Sus scrofa: one gene and its partners. The main gene of each other region encodes a partner of the protein of the gene in region 2 in a complex. Links are inferred from orthologs where the notes say so. Each region holds a gene or a part of one and is shown on either strand. Other genes may lie near its edges. The genes, in order: SPG7, VDAC1 and PPIF.

Region 1 (3,531 bases), on a different chromosome or scaffold from region 2:
GCCCGGGCTCAGCGCAGACCTTTGAGGATCAAGAGGAAACCACGGGGGTCAAAACCAGGCGGGCAGGGAGCCGAGGCCCGGACAGACCAGCCCCGCGGGGACGTGTGGGCCAGAGGGCAGCCAGGCCGCACCACCTGCAGCGTAGGGAGGTCGATGAACACGTGCCGGTCCAGTCGGCCTGGCCGCAGCAGAGCGGCGTCCAGAATGTCAGCTCGGTTGGTGGACGCCAGGACAATGACGTGGTCGGTGGTGCCCATTCCTAGATGGACAGACAGGGGTGTTGGGGGTGCTCTCAACCGAGCGGCTTCCCTGGGGACACCCTCCAAGGACCCGCGGCTGGAGAGACGGGGCACCAGCACCATCATTCTGAAGGCAGCAACGTGGACCCGCCTCGAGGCTCGACCACCAAAACCCCCTACGAGCCACCCCTTAGCTCCCAGGCCAGAGCCCAGGGGCAGAGCTGCAGCTCAGAACCCAGCTCCACCCCCACGTCAAGACAGTGACCTGGGGGAGGGACGAGGGGACGAGGGGACACGGGTCGCCACGGGGGCGGGGGCACTGCCTTCAGCACTGGCTCAGGGCCCCGCGTTTCCCGCCCAGGTTTCTCGCGTGAGGATTTCTGCTGCAGGGCCGCCCCTGAGGTGTATGAAGGTGCCAGGCTAGGGGTTGAATCAGAGCTGCAGCTGCTGCGTCTGCGCCCCACACCACAGCTCACGGCGACGCCAGATCCTTAACCCACTGAGCGAGGCAGGGACTGAACTGCATCCTCATGGATGCTCGCCGGGTTCGTTACTGCGGAGCCACAACAGGAACTTCCTCTCACAAGGATTTGAAAGCAAGTCCAGAACCATCACTGGGGCGCAGAGCCAGGTGTGAGCCTGACAGGTGCTGGGCACGAGTAGGAACACACGCGGCGGTGCCCGCAGCAGTGCTCCAGACCTAAAGAAAGGCACACAGAGCACCCACGATCCAGAACACTCGGTCTGCCATACAACGGGACACGCGCGGGGGCCGGGGGCGGGGGGGACTGGCTGAGTATGCGCCCGCTGCAGGGGACACGGGGCTCGACGCCCACTCGCCTCTGCTTTGATGGGTATTTGAAAAGTTCCAGAATACAAAGTTTAAAAGACAGAGATGCTGTGACCTCTCCCACTAGAGATTTATAAAATTAATCTGGAAGAAACTGAGGCGAACAAGTGTCAACAGACAGGATGTGTGGCCAGAGGGAGAGTCCTGGACAGACAGGCTCCGGGGCCAGAGGGGCAACCCTGCTAGGAAGCCAAGCGGGCTCCCCCCGCACTCCTGCAAAGCCCGCCTTCCACAGGCGGGAGCTGTGGACAGAATCCTGCCGCTGTATTAACGTGGAGGAACAGCAGGAATAACGGGTACGGGAGGAGAGAGCGGCTGGGCAGGGGCGCCCGCGTCACGGGGCTGCGGGCACAGCCCCGGGGCCTCCCGCAGAAGGGCTCCGCCCTCTGGGTGAAGCAAGTGAACTACAGGGTCTCGTCCCAGAACTTACGCGGTTGCAGACACACCACAAGGTGCAAAGAAACCAGCCTATTCAGTAACTGCCAGCCCCATACCCCGTCCCCTCTGTCCCCCGGGGACGAATGCCACCCCCACGGAGACCTCCCTACACGGCCGCCACCTGCCCTCCACCCTCGAGGTCTGTCATTCTGACCATTTCCCCACCAATCGAATCCTCCGATCTGCCATCTCTCAGGTTGGCCTGTTCCAGCCACCCAGTCGTGTGTCCCAGCTGCCAGCTTCTCGGTAAGAGCATGGGACTTAACCACACACGCTCTGAGGACAGCGGGTGTCGAGTCTTCAGCGATTACAGGTTGTGCCCGGCAGGGTACACGTGTTTGCGGACAGGGGTCAGGGCTGCTCCAAGAGGCCGCACACTGTCCCCACCACAAGGTCAGGGCTGCTTCTGCCGCACACAGGCGTGTTTTTGCAGCTGCCTCGCTCACATCAGGGTCCAATTTCTTCACACGGCCGGCAGCTCACCCGGCGTTCCCACCACATCTGACACAGCGCGGCCAGGGGTGTGTTTCTATCAAAACCTCAGCAAGAGTCCTTGGCAGATACGGACAGGCTGATTCTAAAATTACATGAAAAGGCAAAGCAAGCAGCTACGGTTCTGGTCAAGAACAGAGCTCGGCCCCCGCCCGCGGCTACGCGATGAGGGCCGTGGGGCGTGTGCGAGGGCAGACTGTCCGGAGGTGCCTGGCCGAGGCTCCGTGACGGTGAGTTCAGGGGAGGACAGTGTTCTAATCCCAGGCTCAACCAGACCAAAAGTGACGACCAGACCGCACGCCTTACACACAAACTCACCTACCGCGGCCACAGGCCTGGTGAAGGGGTTGCCTCTCCCTCATCTCACTGCAGAGGCGCTGACCCTCAGTGCAGCAGGTGAGACCCCCTGGTCTCTTCCCGCCAGAGGCCAGCACGAGACACCGTCCCTGGGCGCGCAGCGGTCCTTGCTGGCCAGGCCTCTGGGCTCTGATGCACTCACGCCGCCCAACTTGGCAAAACAGAGGGTGGATGCAGAACCCAGCACAGAGCCACTTCTGCGCCCACCGACCTGGGACCCTGGCCAGGCGGCCTGTGGCTCCGAGTGACTGGGAGGCTCCCACAGGCTCTCCCATGACCCCACTCCCTGGGTTACAGGCTGCTCCGCGGGCTCCCGGGCAGGTCGTGGGGGCCGAAGCGGTGGCACAGCAGAAGCTCTGCCCAGGGCAGCAGGGCGCAGGCAGAGCAGGCGCCACGTGGGAAATGCTCCCCGAGGCGCACGTCTGTCTTCGAGGCAGAAGCAACAGCAGCAGAGACAGGGTGACGCTCCCGTGGCCTGGGTGCCCGCCTGCAGCGGAGCCACCAGCAAGCCTCCGCCGTCACACACACGCAAGGTCACAACCACACGCAAGGCCGCACCCGTCAGCCTCCCTTCCCGGTGCAGAAACCCCGGCTCAGAGAATCAGGGTGGAGAGCCCCCCGTGCACCCTGGGCAGCGCTGGATGAGACGTCTGCACGACCAATGCGAGGAGGCCACACCCTCCCGCCAGTCCCTCGGCATCAAGACGGTCACCCGGTGTTCAAAGAGAGCAGCCGTGGTTCAGCCCACGCGGCCCTGCCAGGAGCGTGCTTGTCAGACGTGGCGGCTCCGGGGTTCACTCTTCAGACCAGGCGCTCTGGGCGCTGGTGGAAAAGCAGAGCCGGGGGCGGCCGCGGCTGAGGGGCCGGGACCTGGCCCGGGAGGCGCCCCGCAGGCCCCCTGGTGCGACTCCAGAGCCTCGGCTCAGGTCTGAAGACACCGAGCCGTCGGGATCGGGCCCTGAGGAAGCTCGGTCTTCGTGCCCCGGCTCTTTCAAGTGGCCTGGGAGCCACGTCCTGCGCTGTCCTGATGGACACGCGGATGAGCGGGTCCCTGGAAGGTCTCCAGGGCCCCAGACGTCAACCGCTCTCAGGACGAGGAGCAGCCCTTTCCTCGGCTTGTGAGACGTCGCTGTCCAACTGCAGAGCTTCCCGCCG
Region 2 (4,187 bases):
AACGAAAAAATAGTGAAGTTCTTGTCTTTCTTGAACACCGAGGTGTTTAATAAATGCTTGTTGACTGGCTTAATGATATACAATAATCCCAAGTAGTACTTTGATAATTGGTTTTAAAAATGAAGTCATCATGGAATTCAATAAATTTTTGTTTGAATCAAATTTGAGGGGGATGTGGTTGCATTTCCTTCCCTATGAAGAGTTGCCTACTTAGGTTTTATTGTTGGTTTTTTTCTTTTTTTGCTTTTTAAGGCCACACCCACGGCATATGGAAGTGCCCAGGCTAGGGGTCCAATTGGAGCTGCAGCTGCTGGCCTACGTCACAGCCACAGCAATGTGGGATCCGAGCAGTATCTGCGACCCACACCACGGCTCACGGCAACGCCAGATCCTTAACCCACTGAGCAAGGCCAGGGATCGAACCCATGTCCTCATGGATCCTGGTCAGGTTTGTTACTGCTAAGCTGGGACAGGAACTCCAGTTTTTTTTTTTGTTTGTTTGTTTTCTCAGTGCAGAATATGATATCCCTGTTGATTCCTGTAAAATGCAAGTTTTGGGGTAATTTGGGTCCATTCTGACTCGCAGTAGGGACTCCATAAATATTTGTTGAATGAATGAAATTCGAATCTTAGGGAAAATCAGTTGTTCTGAAAAGCTCTGATTTCTATTTGTTGTATTAATGTCCTGGCAGTCGATATTTTGTAAGAAGATACGTTATATTGGCAAGAGTCCTGCCGTCGAGTGAAGTAGCTGCCTTCTGGGAATGCATCTTTGACAGTGAATTCATTTAGCTGATGTTGCCTGACTCCTCCCGTCTTCTGGGCCTGTGCTCAGTCCCAGGGATGCCTAGGAGAAGAGGTCCAAAGTCAGGCTGGGCGTTCCCGCTGTGGCTCAGCGGTTCACGAAACTGACTACCATCCAGGAGGATGCAGGTTCGATCCCTGGCCTCACTCAGTGGGTTAAGGATCCGGCGTTGCCGTGAGCTGTGGTGTAGGTCACAGATGTGGCTCAGATCTGGCATTGCTGTGGCTCTGGTGTAGGCTGGGGGCTACAGCTCCGATTAGACCCCTAGCCTGGGAACCTCCATATGCTGCCGGTGTGCCCCTAAAAAGCAAACAAACAAACAAAAAAACTAGAAAAAAAAAAACCAAAAACCCAAACCCCAAAAGTCAGGCTGGTTTGCTCTCAATAAAACTTATTGGGCATTTTAAGCTCTGGTCACAAAAAGAAGCAGCAGCCAGCACAGGCCTCTCCGCCTGCCACTGGGGGAACTCAGTGCTGATGATTTTTATTGGTGGAAACTCATAGCCGAAATTACCAATGTGTTTATTTTGGTGGTTTTTTTCTGGCAGCAGAAGATGGCTGTGCCTCCTACGTATGCCGATCTTGGCAAGTCTGCCAGGGATGTCTTCACCAAGGGCTATGGTGAGTGTCGCACGGAGTGGCCTTCCAGCTCGGAGGCGGGGGTGGCATGTTTGGGATTTTGCCCATCAGAGTTTGAGAGACTGGGGTCAGCTCGCTCTCAGACCTTTCATGTCAGGGAAAAAAAGATAAGCCTTCTACGGCTGGCCGAGCAGTTGTGGTTGTGCACCCAGTGCAGGTGGGCTTGCACATTGCTGCCAACAAGCGGGCGTTCTTGTTTCCTCTCGCAGGCAGGGAGCAGGTCTGTGGCTGCCGCTGCAGTGGATTGCAGCTTCTAAATTTAGCTTGTCCTTAGACATGTGCCCACGCGGTCATGCACCTTCTTCTCAGACTCCGCTGGGCGTGCAGGTGGGGCCTGGGCCTGTTCTGTCGGCCACGGTTCCATGGCAACCAGCCCCCCCCCAACACACGCAGCAGTGGTGACTGGTGCCCTCACACTCAGAGCGTGTTAAAGCAGACCGAGGGAGGCGGGGATGCTGTTTTCGAGTGAGTTATTTAACCTGCTAATAGCTACCATCTCCTCTCTTTAGGATTTGGCCTAATAAAACTTGATTTGAAAACAAAATCTGAGAATGGACTGGTAAGTTGTCTGGCCCACGCGGAGCATGGGTATTTATGCAGATCAGTATATAAAAAATAACTTCCTTCGGGGTGACCAACAAAGGGACTCTTCTGATTGTGGCAGCTTGTAGCTGTCCTTTGCATTGCATCCTTTGTAGGATTTGTGGTCCAGGGGAACCATGTGACCAGGTCCCCACTTCTTCAGCTGGATTCTAGTAGGAATATGGGGCAGGCTTCAGTTTTATTTTTCCTTATGCGTCTTATTTCAGAATCAGCCTCTGTTCCATACCATGTGATTACTTAAAATCTTTTTTTGCTTTTTTTTAGGGCCACACCCACGGCATATGGAAGTTCCCAGGCTAGGGGTCCAATTGGAGTTGTAGCTGCTGGCCTACACCACAGCCACAGCAACGCCAGATCCGAGCGGCATCTGCAACCTGCACCACAGCTCACGGCAACGCCGGATCCTTAACCCACTGAGCCAGGCCAGGGATCAAACCTGCAACCTTATGGTTCCTAGTCGGATTCATTACTGCTGAGCCGCAAAGGGAATGCCTAAAACAAAAACCTTAGTCTCTTTTAGATTGTACATGTGGTAATTGTTCGAAGAAGGATACTTCGGGTTGAATTCCTGCCACGTCAGCTTTAGCTCAAAAGCTTTTTCTCTCTAGGCTGGAGGCGGGATGGAAGGATTGCCTTCCTGTCCAGACTGAAGCGTTAACAGGGGAGGAAGGAAGCCGTGTCCTGATAAAGAATTCTCTGTAGTGGAGTTCCCTTGTGGCGCAGTAGGTTAAGGATGTGGCATTGTCACTGCAGCAGCTCCGGGCCACTGCTGTGGCACCGGTTCAGTCCCTGGCCTGGGAACTTTCGCATGCCTCGGGCACGGCCAGTAAAAGAATTCCCTGTAAGATTCCTTTCATTAGCCGGCTCCATCTGTACTTGAAATATCTCATTGAATTATCGAGTGAGGCTTTTCCTGCACGCATGCAAGGTGTCACCTCTTGCTTAAAGGAGAACAGAGGCCACGTAGGGGTGGCGTGGACTTGCTGCGGGGCTCCCAACATTTAGGGGGGGCGTGATGCAGAATGAAGCGTTGGCATGCAGGCCGTGACCCTCTTTCTTTTTTTTAAAGGAATTTACAAGCTCAGGTTCAGCCAACACGGAGACCACCAAAGTGACGGGCAGTCTGGAAACCAAGTACAGATGGACCGAATATGGTCTGACGTTTACAGAGAAGTGGAACACCGACAACACCCTGGGCACGGAGATTACCGTGGAAGATCAGGTAACTCGCCAAAGACGCGGTGTGACTGAGGGGCGGCTGCCGGCCCGTCTCGTGACTAACCCTGCTGGCGAATTTCTTCTCTGTTCAGCTTGCCCGTGGACTGAAGCTGACCTTTGATTCATCCTTCTCACCGAACACTGGGTAAGAATCTCATCCACCGTCTCCCTAAGGACAGCTAGCCGTGTCTTTTTTTATTTAATTTAATTTCTTTATTTTTCTTTGCCATTTCTAGGGCCACACCCGTGGCATATAGAGGTTCCCAGGCTAGGGGTCGAATCGGAGCTGTAGCCACTGGCCTGCGCCAGGGCCACAGCCACGTGGGATCCGAGCCGTGTCTGCGACCTAGACCACAGCTCATGGCATCGCCGGATCCTTAAGCCACTGAGTTCACCTCATGGTTCCTAGTCGGATTTGTTAACCACTGCGCCACGATGGGAATTCCTAGCTGTGTTTTATAGTGAGATTCTGTGCTGTGATTGTTCTGCTGGCCTCAGCTTGGAGGCTGCAGGATTTCTGGTCCAGGAATGCTGCATTCCCTGGGACTGAGGCTGCTGGTAATGTGAGTAGCCAAGGCCAGGGGGTGGCGCTGGGAAGCAGGGGCTAATGGGTCCCTGTGGCCAGCCCCCTTTCTTAGGCTTGATGGCCCTTTCCCCACCTTCTTACTTAGGGACACTGAGAGCATGTGGTCTTAACTACAAGGTGGCTCCAGAGGCTGCCTTTTTTTGCTCCAGGCCCTGGGGCCACACACAGATCAGACTTGTTGGTTATCAGGAGGAAAGGCGGGGAGTTCCCGTTGTGGCTCAGTGGCTAACGAATCTGACTAACATCCATGAGGATGCAGGTTCGATCCTTGGCCTTGCTCAGTGGGTGAAGAATCCAGTGTTGCCATGAGCAACAGTGTAGGTTGCAGACATGGCT
Region 3 (4,082 bases), on a different chromosome or scaffold from region 2:
CCTGACCTAACTCAGGACAACCCCCAGCATAGCTTGGCTCCTGGCCCTTGGGAAAGTTCTTGCTGTCGACATCTACCCTCAAAACCTCTGACACAGCAGCTTTTTAAAAATGCTTTGGAAAAGAGGCAGAACACATGATGAAAAAACATACTCGTTTAACTGAGACAGATGCCCTTATCTGAAAAGAGGCTTCAAGTACAGACCTGTGTGTTCTTGTCTGTGCTGGGTCTTTCTCCCTCTTCCACCTCCTCCTTTTCCCCTATGCCAAGTGCTCGTTGGGATACGGGCAGAGACTGCTTCAGTAGTCCGCCAAAGCCTTCAGATCTACCCCTGAGCACATCCACACCCCAATGCTGGTTCTCCCTCCATTGCTCAACTCTCCTGACTGCGTAAGGTAGGGCCATCCTGCCGTTTGCCCCGTCCTGCCGCTTGCCCTGTTGCTCAACTCCTGGGGCAGGGAAGTTTTCTACATCAGCCAGGACAAGCTCCAGTGAGAGGCCAGGCTGAGAGAGTGATGGCAGTTGCCTTCCATTCAGACTTTCCAGGCACCAGGTGTGTGCACCCTGGTTACTCCCCATGACAATCTTCCGAGGCGACCCCATCTCTATCCCCACTTACAGAAGAGGAACCGAAGGCAGGGAGAGATCTGAGATACCTGGCACATGAAGGATGGAATGACTCTGTGAAACGTGGAGCCTTTGTAGCCGAAGCCCTTCTCCCCGGTGCACAGGGCTCTGAAGTTCTCTGAGGGTTGGAGAAAGAGGCAGATCAGTAGCGCCAGGCCTTAACCCAGGGGCTACAATGCTTCCAGCCAGAGCACTCTTTACCCTCCCACCCCAGGAGGTAAGCAGGGTATGGAAAGCCCTGCAACCTGGGTCTGCTCTAGCTGGGTGACCTTGTACCCTGACCTCAATGTCCGAGCACCATGGCAAGAGCTAAGGCTCCTGGATGTTCCAGCACCAGGTCAGCGGGGCAGGGAGCCCAAGGGCTATGAAGCCATCATACTGACCCACTGGAGGAAGTTGTCCCAGAGGAAATGCACATATTTCTTCTACTGATTCTGAGGCTACTACCAGATAGGTGGGCAAGGCCAACTCTGAGGCTCAGAGGGCCAGAAGGCTACCCCAGGGTACCCATCTGGTCACAGATCTCATGCCCCAACTCCTCTAGCCATCCCACCCTCTCTTGCATCCAGACCAGACTCAGAAGGGCCCAGGCCCTGCCTTACCTGCTGTCTTTGGGACGACATCTGCCTTCAGCTGTGGGGAGAGAAAGAGGGCAGGACATCAGTCCAGAGGCAGGTGAAGGAAGGACCCAACTCCCACGGAGGCCCAGGAAAGACAAAGAGAGCACCATTCCTGTCACTCCCAGCCCTCTGTCACTCCCAGCCCTCCGTGGGAAGCCACTGTGGCTATCACTTCTGCCAGCTGCTTCCTCAACCCAGGGCTGGCAGGAGGCAGCCTCGATTTCCTAACCTGTCAGAAGAGATGACAACACCATCTTGGCCTGCTTCTAGAGGCAGACCTAGCAGAGCTACTTCAGCTGGGCCCAAAGCATCAGAGACTCAGGGCCTGGAGAGAGGGCCCCCCAAGCTCCTCAATGGGCAGATGGGAAACTGAGGCTCAGAGAGAGGCAGGAGGCTGGTGGAAAGGGGGGAGGCCGGAGCCCCATTCAAGCCAGCCTCTTGCTTCCCAGCTTCAAGAGCTGCCCTGGTGCCAAACCTTTAAAATAAATGGGTGCTTTCCATTTTCCGGAAGAAGAAACAGAGGCTTGAGGCGCCTGTGTTCAAAAGCAGGCCAGGCTCAAGAACTACACAGGAGCGTTCCCTCTGTTACCTTCCAGACTACATATTTGTTCCCTGCTTTAAAAAAAAAAAAAAAAAAGGCCCAAAGAGTCAGGGGCAGGCACTAAGCGTTACCCTGGGAAGGTGACAGGTTGGCGTTGGGGCAAAGAGTTCTGAACACAGGGTCCCGACTCCTGGGGCCGCGGCCGGCCCAGCCAGCACCCACCAGGAGAGGAGGCGGCCCCAAAGCACCTTTGCTCAACCATGCGCCCCATGGCAGGAGCAGGGCCGGGGACGCTCCATCTTATGCAAGGGCCGCCACGTGAGCGCACAGCGGGTCAGCCGCCTGGATCCTGGAGAGCCTGCCCCCTCCACCCCGACACCCACCTCAGAGCTCTGGGCCTGCGCTCCCACCCCGTGAGATCTCGGAGCCCTTCCCCAAACTCGGAGCCGGCCTGCCGGGACAGGCCCTCCTGCCTACATTCTGACCTTGAGCTTTCTCCTCCACGGGCGCCCTCCCCCACCTTCCCCCCGCCCCACTTCCATTGGTCTAAAGATCCGAGGGGAGGCCCGGAGAGACCAATCTGATGCCTCTTCTTAGAGATGGGGAAACTGAGGCCCAGAGCAGGAAGCAAGGTCACACAGCGAGCCAGACACAGCGCCGGCCCGGAGTCCAGGGCTCTTCCGGGACCGTCCCTCACTCTCAGTCCAGCGCGGTCCTGTCCAGTGGTCTCACCTCCAGAACCACGCGGCCCAGCGGCTGCCCGTCCGCGCCCACGTCCAGGTACACAAGCGGGTTCCTGGCGGAAGAGGACGGGTCACCGGAGTCGCCGCCGCTGCTGCAGGCGCGGGTTGCGGAGAGGCGCAGCGGCGCGGAGCGCGGGCCGGAGAGCAGACGGAGCAAGCGGGGACTGCTGCGCAGCGCCAGCATGGTGAGCGCGGGTCGGAGTGCAAGAGCTCCAGGACAAGCGGAGACTACAGCAAAGAGAACCACGCACGCCCAGAGCGGCCGAGTCAGCTGGGACCGCGCGCCGCCGCCTTTATTGGCTCAGGCGGCCTCTGGGCCCCGCCTCCGCCACGCCCCCTTCAGCCTGTCCGCTCTTGTCCTCTGCCGGCCCCAGCGGGAAGCACAGCGGCTAGCCTAAAATCCTTTAAATACACCCACACCAGGGCTAGAGACCTGAGAGTTAGACACGACCTTGCAAAAGGAGGCCGGTGACATTTTGTGAGGGTCCCAATAGATAGGAAAAAAAAAAAAAAAAAGCGGGCGGGGGGGATCCTAAAAAGTGGCTAACTCCAAAATGCGAGTACTGTGTTTTCATTTGAATATAACAAAAGTCTACATTTGAGCCTTTTGTATAGGCAGCCCCTCCTGCCATAGGCCCCGCGAACAGGTACAGACCAAGAGAAAAGGTGGCACTGAGTGTCAATCAAAGAAAGTTGGAGATGAGATGCGGGATTAGAGTGAGAAGTGGCAGGAGGAGATCAAGACACCTCCCATGGTGACCTCAGGCATTCCTGTCCTAGCCCGGGCTTGTCTCCAAATGCTTCTAGAAACCAGTCCCCCCTCTAGACTCAGCCTGAGCCTGTCATGCTCCCACCAGGCCCCCAGTCCTCCACCAGGACTGGGTCTGAATCTCCCCCTCCCCAACCCCACAGACTGACAGCCCTAGTTCCCAGCAACCAGGGTTCCCCTTCTACCCCCACTCACTGAGAAACTGCTCCTGCAGGTAACATAGCACAGGGGCCAATCCATAAGAGGTGCAAGGAAGAGAGGAAAGGTAAGACGGGAAGAGGAGGGGAACTGGGTGTGAGCTACCACTGTGCAGATTTACCCCACAAGCTGAGGTGGGCTTCACTGGAGCCTGGGGGGCATGGGAAGCCTACAGGAAATGAGTGACAGGCAGGGGTCCTGAGAGAGCATCTGAGCCAACACCTACACTTTCCAGATGAACAACTGAGGCCCAGAGACAGGAAGGTGCTGCCCAGAAGTAGGGGAACCATGAAGTCCCCACTGCCAGCCTGTACCGGTCCTCCCAGACTCCTCTCTCTGGGCCTCAGTTTCTCCTCTGCAGAATAGGTGTGATGTTAATTCCTACCCCACTTGTTTTCCAGGTCTGTTCCAAGGATAAAAAGAACAAGACAGAGAGAACTTGGTCAACTGCTAAGTACTGTGCTGTAAGCATCAGTGATAGTCAGAGTCTATACTTTGCCCAGGGTTTGGGGCTCAGATAGCAGTGGGCCACAGCTGCAGTGGCTCAGAGTTTTGAAGAGCTAGAAAAGAGGGTAGGGGCTGAGC

What was found.
Region 1: VDAC1 (region 2) and SPG7 share a complex: the UniProt entries of both Homo sapiens proteins name them as parts of the mitochondrial permeability transition pore complex. The link is inferred for Sus scrofa from reciprocal best matches to the Homo sapiens genes VDAC1 and SPG7.
Region 3: VDAC1 (region 2) and PPIF share a complex: the UniProt entries of both Homo sapiens proteins name them as parts of the mitochondrial permeability transition pore complex. The link is inferred for Sus scrofa from reciprocal best matches to the Homo sapiens genes VDAC1 and PPIF.

Annotation. Positions count from the first base shown.
Region 1 is NC_010448.4:422,207-425,737, forward strand, and holds part of SPG7 (paraplegin), read right to left. Parts: intron 260-3,531; coding exon 135-259; intron 1-134. UniProt on the Homo sapiens protein: Catalytic component of the m-AAA protease, a protease that plays a key role in proteostasis of inner mitochondrial membrane proteins, and which is essential for axonal and neuron development.
Region 2 is NC_010444.4:136,317,781-136,321,967, reverse strand, and holds the start of VDAC1 (voltage-dependent anion-selective channel protein 1), read left to right. Parts: upstream 1-1,359; coding exon 1,360-1,426; intron 1,427-1,953; coding exon 1,954-2,003; intron 2,004-3,116; coding exon 3,117-3,269; intron 3,270-3,357; coding exon 3,358-3,410; intron 3,411-4,187. UniProt on the Homo sapiens protein: Non-selective voltage-gated ion channel that mediates the transport of anions and cations through the mitochondrion outer membrane and plasma membrane.
Region 3 is NC_010456.5:81,673,401-81,677,482, reverse strand, and holds the start of PPIF (peptidyl-prolyl cis-trans isomerase F, mitochondrial), read right to left. Parts: upstream 2,812-4,082; 5' UTR 2,715-2,811; coding exon 2,520-2,714; intron 1,260-2,519; coding exon 1,229-1,259; intron 745-1,228; coding exon 656-744; intron 1-655. UniProt on the Homo sapiens protein: PPIase that catalyzes the cis-trans isomerization of proline imidic peptide bonds in oligopeptides and may therefore assist protein folding. Involved in regulation of the mitochondrial permeability transition pore (mPTP).